2 linked regions of the Drosophila melanogaster genome follow. The protein of the gene in region 1 interacts with the protein of each later gene in a pairwise test. Each region holds a gene or a part of one and is shown on either strand. Other genes may lie near its edges.

Region 1 (6,421 bases):
TTCATATGTCAGTCTGACGGTCAGCGAAACAGATCACTGAGGCACATTTCAGTTGAGCCCGATCTAATTAAGATCACAATCGCCATCCATGGAGGTGATCAATTGCGCAGATCAAAGATCAACAGAGATCGGCGGAATAACAGAATGACAACGCTTGATTGGACGTGGATTTCCTGCGAGCGAGTGCAGCTGCCGGCGATCGCGGTCAGAAGAACCTCATAAAATAACAACCAGATCACCGAACCTTTCCAGATTGACCCAATTTCAGAGAACCGGCTCGAGAAGCGGCCGAGCTTGGGAGGCTGGGCGTCGAATGGAGGGCATCGAAGGTGTTAAAAAAACACACACACACACAACCAGTTCCAGATCCGAGACATTCTAGATGGCTATCGCTGGGAAGGGTACGACCACAGCCACATCAGTTTGCATAAAATTTCACCAAATATAATATAGTATGAGTACCAAAAAGTTGGCGTACTTTCGTTCGGACCTCGAGACATCGCGAAGTGTAAACAAATCTCGAGAAGATGTGGAACTCTTTGAAAGAGCTGCAGTGGGAAGAAAACCGGTAAGCCCCTAAAGAATTCCCCGCCGAGTGGCTAAGACTGGTACTTAAGCACCGCTCGCCAGAAGATGCGATCAGTTGTTGTGGAGTCGAGCAGCTGACCAGATCAACATGAGGCCATACCAAGTAGTTTGCATCGTAGGTAAGTCTCGCATATCGAAGCTGACCAGTTCTGGAAGTCCCATAATTAACTGGTATGCGCCCATTTCCTTTTTAGCAGTAGCAGCTCTGCTGCTTTTGGAGGCGATTCCCGCGGATGCAAAGCGGCGCAAGCACAAGGGCTCCGATCATCACTATGAAAAGTCTGATCCCCACAAGACCAAGACAAAGACCAAGTGGTCTAGCTCCACGGATTTGGCTGGAAACACTCCAATTTCCACCGAAGAGCACGGCTACTATGTAAAGCGCACCTTTGCGGCTCCCGGTGAGATTGGAGCCGCACAGAAGCGTCTAAGTCCCCCCTATTTGGCCATTCCCATCGCCTGGTTCAGCTGTGAGTCGGGCCAGAAGAATTGCCAGTCTTCCAATTCCGCGGCTATCAACAGTGCCGCGCAGTCCTTGAGCGAGGGCTATCTGTGCGACGATGATTGCGATGAACTGTACGAGCCCATCTGCGGCAGGACCACCTCAGAGGTGGCCGTTTTCTACAACAAGTGCAAGTTGGGTGTAGCCAAGTGCCGATCCCACGGTCTTTGGACGGACTTCGCCTATGCCGAGTGCCAGGCGAAATATCCGCAGGAAACTGCCTATGCCGACAAGAAGTTCCGGTCATCGCCTTATTTCCGGGATGCGGCCATCGTGGAGCAATTGAAGCTGGAGGAGGAGAAGCGTAAGCAGGAGGAGGAACAACACAAGCTGGAGAAGGAGCAAAAGAAGAAGGAGAAGGCTGAGAAAAATAAGAACGAGAAGGACAGCAGCGAAAGCAGCGAGGAGAAGGATGACCAAAAGGAAAACAAGCAGAAGGATCCCCTTTCCCTAATGCCACAGAAGAAAGTGGAATCCACCCAGAAGCCAGTGCCAGTTCCTATTCAAGTAGCAGTTCCAAAACCAGTTTCAGTTTTGGAGCCTGCAAAGACGACCGAGGACATCGCTATGCCGCCTATGCCACTGAAGGACACTCCCACGCCCAAACCTCTGGAGATCGCGCCCCTTCACCAGCAGACCCAACCCAAGGGCAAGGACATTGATAGGCTCAAGTACCAAGTAGCTTAGAAAGCAATGGCTACACAAATCTCACCTAATTATAGTATTTATTTAATTTATTACAACAAATAAAATTCTAAACAACGATAATCATCTATATTTGATAAACAAAATGGGTTTTTTTTAAATACACGCTTTGTAGTTTAAACGTGTATTGGACTACAATTTTTATGGCTAACTTTAATGGTAACCCGACTTTTATATTGTCATAAAAATAAAAATCATAAGATCTGCTTAGCACTTTTATGTAGATATTTTATATGGGATCGAAACGCACTTTTATTTTCCCAAAGTCAGTAAGAGTGTCTTCTTAGTTCTTATGACTCCAGACCAGTTACACTATTTTTCAGATCCCTTGAGCATTTAATTACTGAAATAGGTGCATTGTACATTTACATAGCTATATCTTTGGAAAGACATTAATCGGGATCCAACATTTCTGTGACAAACTAGTATAACTCGAAGCAGATTTAGTAGCAAGGGGAAAGGTGTGTGCAAAATTTGTAATGGGAATGAATACACCTATGATTCTTAACGAACTCATTCTTGATAATTCTTTATGGCCTCTAAAGAACTTTGTGTGTTAAAGTAACGGGTATAACAACTTCAACTTTACATATATATCTTTCAATCAGATAATTTTCAAAACTTTCTTAGAGGCAAATTCACCTCTTTGTAATTAAATTGAGAAGAATTCTAAGGCGATGCAGTTGCATTGAATCAAGTGCATTGACCCCCAAAACAAGTTCTATAAACTGATTGATATCTGAAGCTTGAAAGGGCCATCATCCATTGCCAGGCACTAAACCTAAAAACTAATTGGGCGTGGGATGGACAATGCAACAGGTTGCGGCTGGGTTGCCTATAAAAGCAGCGGGATTTGTGTCACTTGTCACAGAAGTTGACCAACTGCAATGGGAGCCACTAGTGTCGGAGTTCCAGTCTGGAAGATTCAGCTACTGATTCTGCTGAGTGCAGGTGAGAATATTCTAAAAGTTGTAGCTTGTGGTATTTAGTTTTCCTCTCCTAGTTGTTCTCACCATTCAAGCTGCTCCTGTCGAGGTAACCGAAGGAGTGACCCAACCCCCAGCCGAGAAGCTGCAAACGGAGTCTCGTTCCCGTAAAGATGAAGAGCTGGAACTAGAAGAAGACCTGGATGGACGTAATGCCTATATCAACAATCAGTTTGTGCCAAGCGAACCTGCAGAAGTCCTAGAGGATGTGCAGAATACGCCGCTCTACGAGATCCTTCAAAAGCAGATGGAACAAGTGTTGGCCTCATCGGCTCCCAATGACCCTGTCTACGAGCAGCACCGCGAGAAGCAGGATCGTCGCGATCAGAAACCACCACACCAGCCACCGTACTTCTCCGGCGGAGATCGAGATGGTGATCTACAGGATGACTACGAGGACGAGGAGGATCAGACGGATCAGGGTTATCCGTCGGACCCCGAGAAACCGGACGCCGTGTCAGATGCTCCCGAGGATGAGGACCCAGGCTACCAGGCACCTTCGTTGAGCCTTCCAACCACCACCACTCGCAAACCGTACAGACGACGCAGCACAACCACTTTTCAGCCACGAACCACCAGGACAAGAACCACTGCTCAGCCCAGGATCTCGGAAAGTCCATTGAACCAAACCAGCACCACAGAGCAATCACCAAATGTGACCACCAGCACTCCACGGCCCAAGATTGGTTCCAGCACCAAACCCAAGGCAAATCCTCAGCCGGGAAACAGCCTGCCAAGTGACCCGCAGGTTTACCAGCACAAGCGTCGCATCATCTTCAAGACCATCTCAACGGGCTCGCAATTCGTCAACTCGCCAATTGGCGACCTAATGATCAAGTTCTCAATCGGATTTGCCAAGCCAACCACTCCGGGTGGAGCTACCAGCACTGCGGGTTCACATAGTTCGTCCAGTGAGGCTTTACGTGCTCTTTCGCAAAACTTAATTCGAAATTTTGAACTTCAAAAACTAAGAAGAGCCAATAAAGTGCAAAAATATTAGATATACATTATTAACGAAAACAAAACCACGGGTTTTCAATTGGATTCATGTTTTAATGTACTAACAACAATGGATTCGAAGACTTTATGAGTAGTAGCTATATTTCGAACAAAAGATATTTTTAAAACCCTCAGTTGAAGAACTTAATTCTATTCTATTACCTCAAATTCAAAAATTTCGAATTGTGTTATAGAAATTTCATGAATATTTTAATCACCACAACAGCAATTGCTTGTGCAATAAGCAAAACATTCGATTTGGAGCGAGGTCTGCTAAAATTATTCCAGCGGGAACCAATCATTGATCTCCAAATTGTTGAAAACAACTTGAGATGACGCCATAAGAATATACATAACCAAATCAGAAAATGTATTCCGTCACGTACGAGAATTTCGAGACAATGACAATAGATCCACATGTACGGTTCGTGTTTAGTAGAGTTAATACACAAAATGGAGGTGAACAGTCACAGTAACAACAACGTCATAATCCGTAAAGGAACATGGTTAGCTACCTTAGAGTAAATATAATCTAACTGCCTTGGCTATTCGGTGCCCAATCGTTGTTTTCATCGAGTCTCATAGGTTGGTTAGTTCGCTAGGCGATATGTAAGCTTCATAAAAATATATCTATGGAGGGTATTTCACCGGCGTTATGAAATTATAAATGGTTAACAATTGTACATATATACCTGTCTAAAAGGCTTTATGAGGATGGGTTTATGTTTAACACGGAATTCAATCTTGTGAGGCAGCCTTTGACATTTTTAGCTATTGAATGCAGCTAATCCTAATCCAAAACAGCATTAGCGCACGGGCCAGAATCTCTGGGCCAGGAGAGGAATGGTGACGCCGGTGACGATGCTGGAAATCAGGTTGACACTATGGTTGTCCAGGATGCGCAGTCCGCTTACGTGGCGCACTCCCTTTCCAGGTGTATCCACAATCTTGCCTTCCTCATTGATGCCCGAGAACTGCAGCAGACCACCTAGGACAGAGTCCAAAAGGGACCCAAAAAGTCCAGCGATGCCACCGAAGGCGATGATTGGCCATTGTGGTGGGCTAATCAGAAGCATTTTGGCCTCAACCGTGTAACGAACGGTGACGAAATAGCCAAAGCCGACGAGCAGACCGCCGAGCAGACTCACCGCGACGCCGAGCAACGAAACCCCACCATTGGTACCGCGCGGCACTCTGCGCCAGGTGATGATAGAAACTGGATCGCGTTGCGACAGCACGGATCCTAGTTCACTGGACCAGGTGTCGCCATTGCAACAGGCAAACGCACTCATAACGGCCACACCCAGCCAGCTGGATCGGTATTCTCGTGCGAAGTCCACCGCCCGCTCGCCACTACCGCAGTCCAGCAGATAAAGCAATGCAAGCTGGGCGGCCATGCCTCCGTTGCAGAGTACCTGTATCCAGTTTCGTTGGCCTTCGCCCTCGCGAAAATCGCTCTCGAAACGGCGTTTCATGTGCGCGCGGAACTTGGTGGCCCGCGATGAGCTGAAGAAGAACACCACCAAGCTGGCGAAGAACGGATGGCTGGCGATGGAGAGAATGAAGGCCACCAGAATGCCCAGCGCAGCTCCAGATCGGTTGACGCTCCTCCGGCGCAGAGCCACAGTCATCAGGGCCAAGGGCGCCAGTGTGGAGAAGAGCCAGCGCACCGGCGGAATCACCCGGGACTCTGTCGGATAACCTTTTGGCATTAGTTGACCCCAGGTAACGTTCGCACTGGAATCCATATAGCTCACCCTCAAAGTCACTGCTCCAGAACTTGGACAGCGCCACATTGCCCAGCCACATGAACAGCGAGATCGGCACGGACAGTCCGCAGAAGAGCACTGGCATCCAGTCACGCATCTTGACGTTTTATGGGCGCTGTTTATCGCCACTTTCTCCGGCGGGTTTTGTTTATTTATATGAGCCAGTGATGCCGTTGACTAGTGTTTGAAAATACCAAATGTTAATGTGTCAAATGTATGGCAACCTGGCTTTTAGTTCAACGAAGACTCAACCCATTCCGTTTTTAAATGAAGATTCAATTTTAAATAAATTATTTTGAAAAATAATTTTGTTTCTATGTAAAAATTGTTTATTACTTTTATTCTTATATATATTATAAATTCGAGTGTGCTCTCAGTATTTAAAATCTTGTTTAGGCATTTAAATGAATTCAAAATATCCAAATAAAGTTAATTTGAACACGATTGTTATTAAATAAACATATTTAGAGAGTAAGATCTTTACCATTTTCTTTTTAGGGGTATGAGCCATCGGAACCCCTTTGAATATTTTATAAAAATAAATATATTTAAACGAAAAAGGGTATTTACAGCAATCATTTTAATTTTAAATTGCAAAATAAAATTCATAGTGATGGATCTAAAATTGTTCAATTGCTTTTTATAAAATGCGTCATACAGTGGAGCAGATATATTTAATAATTTCACAATTTAATTATCAAGGATCGCTATTAATTATGATTGGTACATTAATTTTAACTACGTTTAATTGTATTTTAGGGAGCTTAGAAGGCTATAAAGAGTATATGCCCTCCAATCGTCGCACACGCTCATCGATCGAGTCCAATAGTTTGCTGATCTCGTCCAGCCGCGCGGAACAGGAGCACAAGTCC
Region 2 (6,982 bases), on another chromosome or scaffold:
GCCCATGGCGGTCATCTGGGCTTCTATGAGGGCGGCTTCCTGTACCCGAACCCTGTCACTTGGCTGGACCGTACGCTTGTGGCGATGGTTGGGTCCTTGGTCATGATGCACGAAGTCGGCAAGGTGGCCCCTTAGGCCTGGTTGCTATTTTCACACGCATACACGACTATTTAACGCTTCTGTGTCAAAATTGGTTGTCGCTGTCGAATATAAATCTTTGAAGAACCATCGGAACGGAAGAGAGCCCGAAAGACCCCATACATATAGTTCTAACATATGATATCGTTGTGCAGCAATTATAAATTATCAGCCGCGCAAGCATAAATTGATGTATACTTTTGCAAAGTGCATTTAAAACAGAAATTGTAGTTTTTTGAGAACGATTTTTATGCTTTTTAATGACTTTTTGAAGAGCCAAACATACAATGTATCAGTTGAACTCGTACCTTAGTTAGTTAACGCGACCACATGTATCCATGTACTTATGTCTAAGCAAATTCCTATTTATTAGCATTTTCCTTTGTGATCTAACAGTTTTTAATTACGTACATTTTTATATGTGAAATGTACACCACACGCCGCACACAATATACGATGTATGACAGTAATTATAAATTATAAGTCCTCGACCGCACCACAAGCATATAAAATAGCAAGAATATTGCCTTAGTGTAGACCTCGTTTTGTATGTGTGAATATGATTTGAACTATTCATTTTGTACTATGATGCATTTCACGGAAATCAAAGAGAAACCAAATGAAAGTTTGCCCAACGTCGGCTTCATTTTTGTATACTTTTTCTGAACTTTACCAAGTTGATAGTCAGATTTGTTTACCAATGTAGTGGAGTGGAGAATATTTATAAATGTATTTGTAAATGTATTTATAAATGTATATTGAAACAAATAAATAACAGTTGGACAAAAATATTCCCTTTATTTCACTTTTGATTTTTCCATATTTCAAATTTCGCTGTTAAATCGGTTACAGTTTCTCTACACCTAAGCTAACACTGGATTTGACATCACTAGTTGCAAGAAATGTACACCACACGCCGCACACAATATACGATGTATGACAGTAATTATAAATTATAAGTCCTCGACCGCACCACAAGCATATAAAATAGCAAGAATATTGCCTTAGTGTAGACCTCGTTTTGTATGTGTGAATATGATTTGAACTATTCATTTTGTACTATGATGCATTTCACGGAAATCAAAGAGAAACCAAATGAAAGTTTGCCCAACGTCGGCTTCATTTTTGTATACTTTTTCTGAACTTTACCAAGTTGATAGTCAGATTTGTTTACCAATGTAGTGGAGTGGAGAATATTTATAAATGTATTTGTAAATGTATTTATAAATGTATAATGAAACAAATAAATAACAGTTGGACAAAAATATTCCCTTTATTTCACTTTTGATTTTTCCATATTTCAAATTTCGCTGTTAAATCGGTTACAGTTTCTCTACACCTAAGCTAACACTGGATTTGACATCACTAGTTGCAAGAGCAGTCGTGGCCGAGCGGTTAAGGCGTCTGACTAGAAATCAGATTCCCTCTGGGAGCGTAGGTTCGAATCCTACCGACTGCGATGACAAGAGTTACTTTTTTGTTTTTAACTTTTTGCCCAAAAGAACAATTTTAAGGTTATTAATTTGATCCTTTTTCATAATGTTTCAAAGAATGTTGTGCTAGATTTGTGTGTTTGCTTTCATATAAATATTCTATTGGAATATTAAGATTTTTTAAATATATCCCAGATGGTATTCATTTTTATTGAGCGTTTTATACTTATACCTAAAAAAAATAATTAATTTTTAAATGTTTAAACTAAATGAAGCTTAAGATATAGCCGCGTTCTCGACCTTGTCCGTATGGCAAAGCTTTACATGCCTACGCAGACCTTTTGGTTGGCGGAAACGCCGCTCGCATTGGGAACACTTGAATCGCTTTTCTGCGGTGTGGCTCATCATGTGCTTCCGAGCATCTGACCGCTCCCGGAAGAACTTATCGCACATATCGCACTTGTACGGTCTTTCTCCTGTGTGAATTCGAATGTGCTGCCTTAGAGCAGATCCATCCGAGAAGGCCGACTGGCAGGTAAGGCACTTGAATGGTCTTTCTCCCGTGTGAGTCCTTAGATGTCTTTTGACGGAAGCAAGATCCGCAAATGGCTTTTGGCAAATTTCGCAGGCGAAGGGTTTTTCCCCCGTGTGGGTCTTTTGGTGGCGGACACAGCTTGCTTTGCTGCAGAAGGTCTTGTTACAAAGGCGGCAGGTGTGCGTAGAATTCCTTGAAAGCTGTCTGGCTTTCGTCCTCAACTCTTCTTTGACCGCGTGCTCGCTGGTGGAGGACATTGGACGGGGTCCGTCCGTTGTGTGGTGTCGCAGGATGTGTAGCTCTAGGAGACCAGGTCTCCGAAAGGACATGTGACACTGTGTGCAGATGTGACCCTTATCCTCGGAAACATTGTCGGATTGAGCAGTTTTAGATTCTTCCTGGGTGCTGACTTCATTCGTAGGTGCCTTGTTTTCACTCAAATGAACTTTCTCCTCTTGTTCATCGATGAGTATTACCTCGTCGGAGTCTGATAGCTCGATGATTACATCCTCCGAGAGTTCTTCCTCGAGAACCGTGTCCTGCACTTCATAGAAGACCTGGTAGCTGCGTTCGTAGGTTTTTATGATCGTAAACGCATTGTGGGCATCCTTCACACATGGTGGGCATATTGAGTGCGGTAATGAGTCCCCTTTTTCAACTTTGAAGCCGGTGCATTCAATTATCATATGGGCTATTGAAACTGGAAGATCCTGCCTTTCCTCGAAAATGTTCACCATGTTTTTTGAGCTTGCCAGGCAAACTCGACACTTGTTCTCCATTACCCTGTATTTTAATAAACCTTGGCCGCCTATACAAATCGATCAAAGGTAATTACAAATAAATATGTAGTGGTATTTTAAATATTTTCAAATTAAATGAGACGGTTTATTTATTATAGGGAATAGTTTGTTTACCATTTTGGCATAGCATTCAGTTTGCTAGTGGAATGATCACCCTGTTCCCACAACAGTGGGCTGTTAGGCGCAAAAGAATATGTATGTTACGTTACCGAACTGTTATCGAGCTTGAAAACGTTTCTTGAATGAAAAATAACAAAATTATAATAAATACGTATTTGGTACGTATTTGGCTAAGATAAGATTACATTTTTAACGCCTTGCCGTAATTCTTAGCATGCCTTCGAAGAAGAATCATATTCTTAAGGACTAAACCGCAACCCTCACACTTCACGTAAAAGGTCCTTTTGCCAAAGACACTAGAATTATTCTAGTATCTTTGCTTTTGCCTTGTGTACCAGTCCGGGCTGGTGGAGGTCGGATGACGTCGAGAAACGGGACTGGCAGTCAGGACGAACCCTATCCACAAACCGCTTGTCGCACCGATCACACTGGAAAGGTAGTTCATTCGATGGTTCATGCAATGGGGCTCGATAAGTTCGTAAAGGCCGATTTTCATATTGAGCATTTGAAGGGACGTTCCCTGGTGTGGGTCCTTAAATGCTTGACGAGGTTACAGCGTAGCGTGAAGTCTTTACCGCAGTGATCACACTTAAATGGCCGCTCGCCCGTGTGACTCATGGTGTGGCGGTCCAGGTGGCTTTTCAATCGGAAGGAACTCAGACAGGAAGGGCAGTCGAAGGGTCGAATGTCGGAGTGTGTCTTCTTGCGCTGGCGCAGGTTACTTTTGTCAGCAAAAGTCTTGGCACAGATGTCGCACGGGTAAGGTCGTTCTTCCAAATGCAGGGCGCTGTGCCTTTTAAGAAAGGATTTCAGTCGGAAGGTCATCGGGCAGCTGGGGCATTTGAATGGTCGTTCTCCCGTGTGGACGCGGTTGTGCTCCTCGAACCTGGATCGATGTGGAAAGGACTTACTGCAGTGGGAGCACTTGTAGGCCATCCGAGCACCGCTCCGAACACATTCACTGCCGTCCAAAGCCAATTTCGGTGTCAGTCTCACCTTGCTGATGATCAGGTGCAACACTTTCATTTCGGGGGGCGTCCTGGACATCCTTGTCCAATGTACCACTTTCTTTGGGTTCCTTTTCATCATGTTGCTGATTCTTCGAATGAACACTATCGTCGACGCTATTATTGAAGTCTTCTCCCTTTGCATCTACGGTTTGATCACATTCATCTTCTGATATCTCATAGATTTCATCGGCATTTATGTACTTTTGGTTTCCATTGGTATCGTGCGACGACGTCCCACTGTCGCTGTCCGATATTGTGTACACCTCTCCTTCTAGGGAATCCTCTTCAAGTACCGCTTCGTATGCCTCACAAAAGGTGATGTAGCTGCGCTCGTATTTTCTGATGATATCGAATGCACTCTGGGCATCCTCCAAACAGGATGCACAAATTAACTCCGACAGATCGTCCCCTTCTTTAATGTCACAGTCCGTGCATTCAGAGATCACTTGTGCTATTGAAACCAGCAGGTCTTGTTTTGCCTCGAAAATGTTTACCACGTTTTCACTGACCCCAAGGCAGACTCGGCATCTGTCTTTGAGTGCGCTAAAATGACGAGATGGGACTTTAGGACACGCACATTTACAAAAGCAGATACTTACGCTCTCATTTCTCCTACAAATTTTTATTTTCAAAATAAGATATAGGTCCTTTTTTCCTTCGATAAAAATACATCAGATGTTTTATAATCGGTTATCGATGACATACGACTGCACGCGCAACAGTGAAATGTAAGGGGAATAGGGTGTTCTGTGTACGTAGAGAGTGAAAAACTAATCGAGTTGTAAACAAACAGCACACATGTATCTATTATTATTATAATAATTTAACCAGTTTCTGAGAGGAAAAAATAGAGAATAGAATAGAGAATGTTGAAAAATAAAGAAAATCCGTAAACCTTCTCGCAGTCGGTAGGATTCGAACCTACGCTCCCAGAGGGAATCTGATTTCTAGTCAGACGCCTTAACCGCTCGGCCACGACTGCTGTTGGTATGACTCGGCAAATTGGCAACTAATGTTGATTGCATGGGAGAATCCAAGACTGAACACACATTTCGGAACCTTGCTCATTTGACAACACTGCATGTGTGTGTTACTTGAATTTGAGCGCCAAGTTGAATGTGACACACAAATCCCTTTACTTGCTTCCTTTTATTCGAATACAAGGGATTTAATTTTTTTTAATACCCTTTATTGACCGCATTAAAATTTACAAAACCGTTTAGGACAATACTCACGACAGCAACAATTGATGCCGCATTTGTAATTCATGCCCTCGCATTTCTGCTTGCCCCACGAAAATGAAAGAAGACCTAACCACATGGAAAAATAAGTTATATAAGTAAGCAAACGAACTCATAAAATTATACAAATACTCACGGGCATATCCAGCTGCCTGGCGAGCTTCATTTTCCTTTATCAGTTCACAATCTGACTTGCATACGAAGTAGAAGGCTACGCCTTTGCCACAATGTGAGTCCAGGATGCAACGATTCACGGGTTTGCTGTCGCAGGGACCGGGATTTTGACAACTTGGACCATTGTAGACGCAATGGGCACCGCAGCAGGCGTTATCCCGAGGTGGAAGTTTGGGCTCCTTATAGCCATTACCATTGCACTTGTTCAGGCCAATGAACGGATGGCAGGACCCCTGGTTGCAGCCCGATATTACGGCCATTAGACAAGCCAGCAGTTGGAAAATCAGCAGAACTCGTATTGCTCTCATGTTGGTTAATAGGTCACTCAAATGATCAACCAAAAAGCAGACTGCTTTTATACCCACATATCGCCATATATTTACACAATTGCTAAAGCAAAAATAGACCTCCTTAACCTGAGATAGACTATAAAAGTCTCGACCCTCCTGGCACTTTATCTGAGAAGTCTTCGAAATGGTTGCCAAGATTCTGCTGAGCCTGCTGCTCCTCGCTGTTGTCACCGATCTGGTCTCAGCCCAGTGCTCCCAAAACCTGTGCCCAGTGGTCACGAACTCGAATCCCCGGTGCAAGGGAAAACTTCAGTATCAATGCGTTTGCGACTACACCTGCTCCGAGTGGGACAAGCCCTGCAACTGGGTACTTACATGTCCTGAAGAAATCGACGACATCAATGAAGTGCGCGACAAGAGAAATAAGCTAAGTAAGTTCGGACACTCATATCCTTGATGAAATTCACAATCCATTCACAATCACACTTTCTTGCAGATTTGTTCAGATTGCCCAATCGAAACCGCCTGGAGTGCCTGGACATCAATGTCTACACCATTACGCGTCCGAATTGCTGCGACTTGTTCTGCAAGTCTAAGCTTAAAGATGTCTGTTTCTAAATAAATGTATGATCGTCAAATATTATCGCTTATCATTTAATGGATTTGAGAGGGAATTTTGTATAAGGCAATAAAATATAAAAATCAAGTAGAAGTTTTTTTTTAATTTCCCCCATATGGTCACCGATGATTAATTTACTAAAATATTTACGCCTTTTCAAAATAATAAAATGTTATACCCCATTTTTGAAAAAGGCATTTAAGAATATTCAAATTGCTGGCTTGAAAGTAACAAAATCATTTTTTATTCAACGGGTTTAATATACACATAAGTAAATATGTTAATCCACTTTTTAATACAATAACCGTTTTATTTATTTAATTATTTTCCGGCATTTTTACAGCTGATCATTGAGTTTATTTAAATTAGTTTATGCAGCTGTCAAGTTTGATCCACATTTTAATACAATGACCCATATATTTATTTGATTATCTACCCGTCTTATTGATTTTATTAAATATTAGTTTATGCAGCTGATTATTTTTATTTACCGAAGTCCAAAATTATCGAATATTTTTGCACAGGTGTTATTGATGAAGGATGTTTTTTGTTTACCTTTCGGTTGGCCTTTAAAGTCGTGTTTACCTCGCAGCAGTTGCTTATCAATTTATTGATTTTCGTG

Evidence for each region.
Region 2: the proteins of CG14110 (region 1) and CG44002 interact in a two-hybrid assay, tested with the Drosophila melanogaster proteins (one large-scale study listed by BioGRID).

The regions. Positions count from the first base shown.
Region 1 is NT_037436.4:13,382,129-13,388,549, forward strand, and holds CG14110 (uncharacterized protein), read left to right. Parts: upstream 1-2,660; 5' UTR 2,661-2,682; coding exon 2,683-2,746; intron 2,747-2,798; coding exon 2,799-3,781; 3' UTR 3,782-3,797; downstream 3,798-6,421. Other genes in the region: ImpL1 (Ecdysone-inducible gene L1), read left to right, coding at 677-1,777; CG10171 (uncharacterized protein), read right to left, coding at 4,587-5,482, 5,538-5,646; Poc1 (proteome of centrioles 1), read right to left, coding at 6,322-6,421.
Region 2 is NT_033779.5:3,168,067-3,175,048, forward strand, and holds CG44002 (uncharacterized protein), read right to left. Parts: upstream 3,027-6,982; 5' UTR 2,886-3,026; coding exon 1,848-2,885; 3' UTR 1,754-1,847; downstream 1-1,753. Other genes in the region: Hydr2 (alpha/beta hydrolase2), read left to right, coding at 1-135; CG31698 (uncharacterized protein), read right to left, coding at 5,237-5,346, 5,414-5,759; CG15404 (uncharacterized protein), read left to right, coding at 5,926-6,172, 6,238-6,359.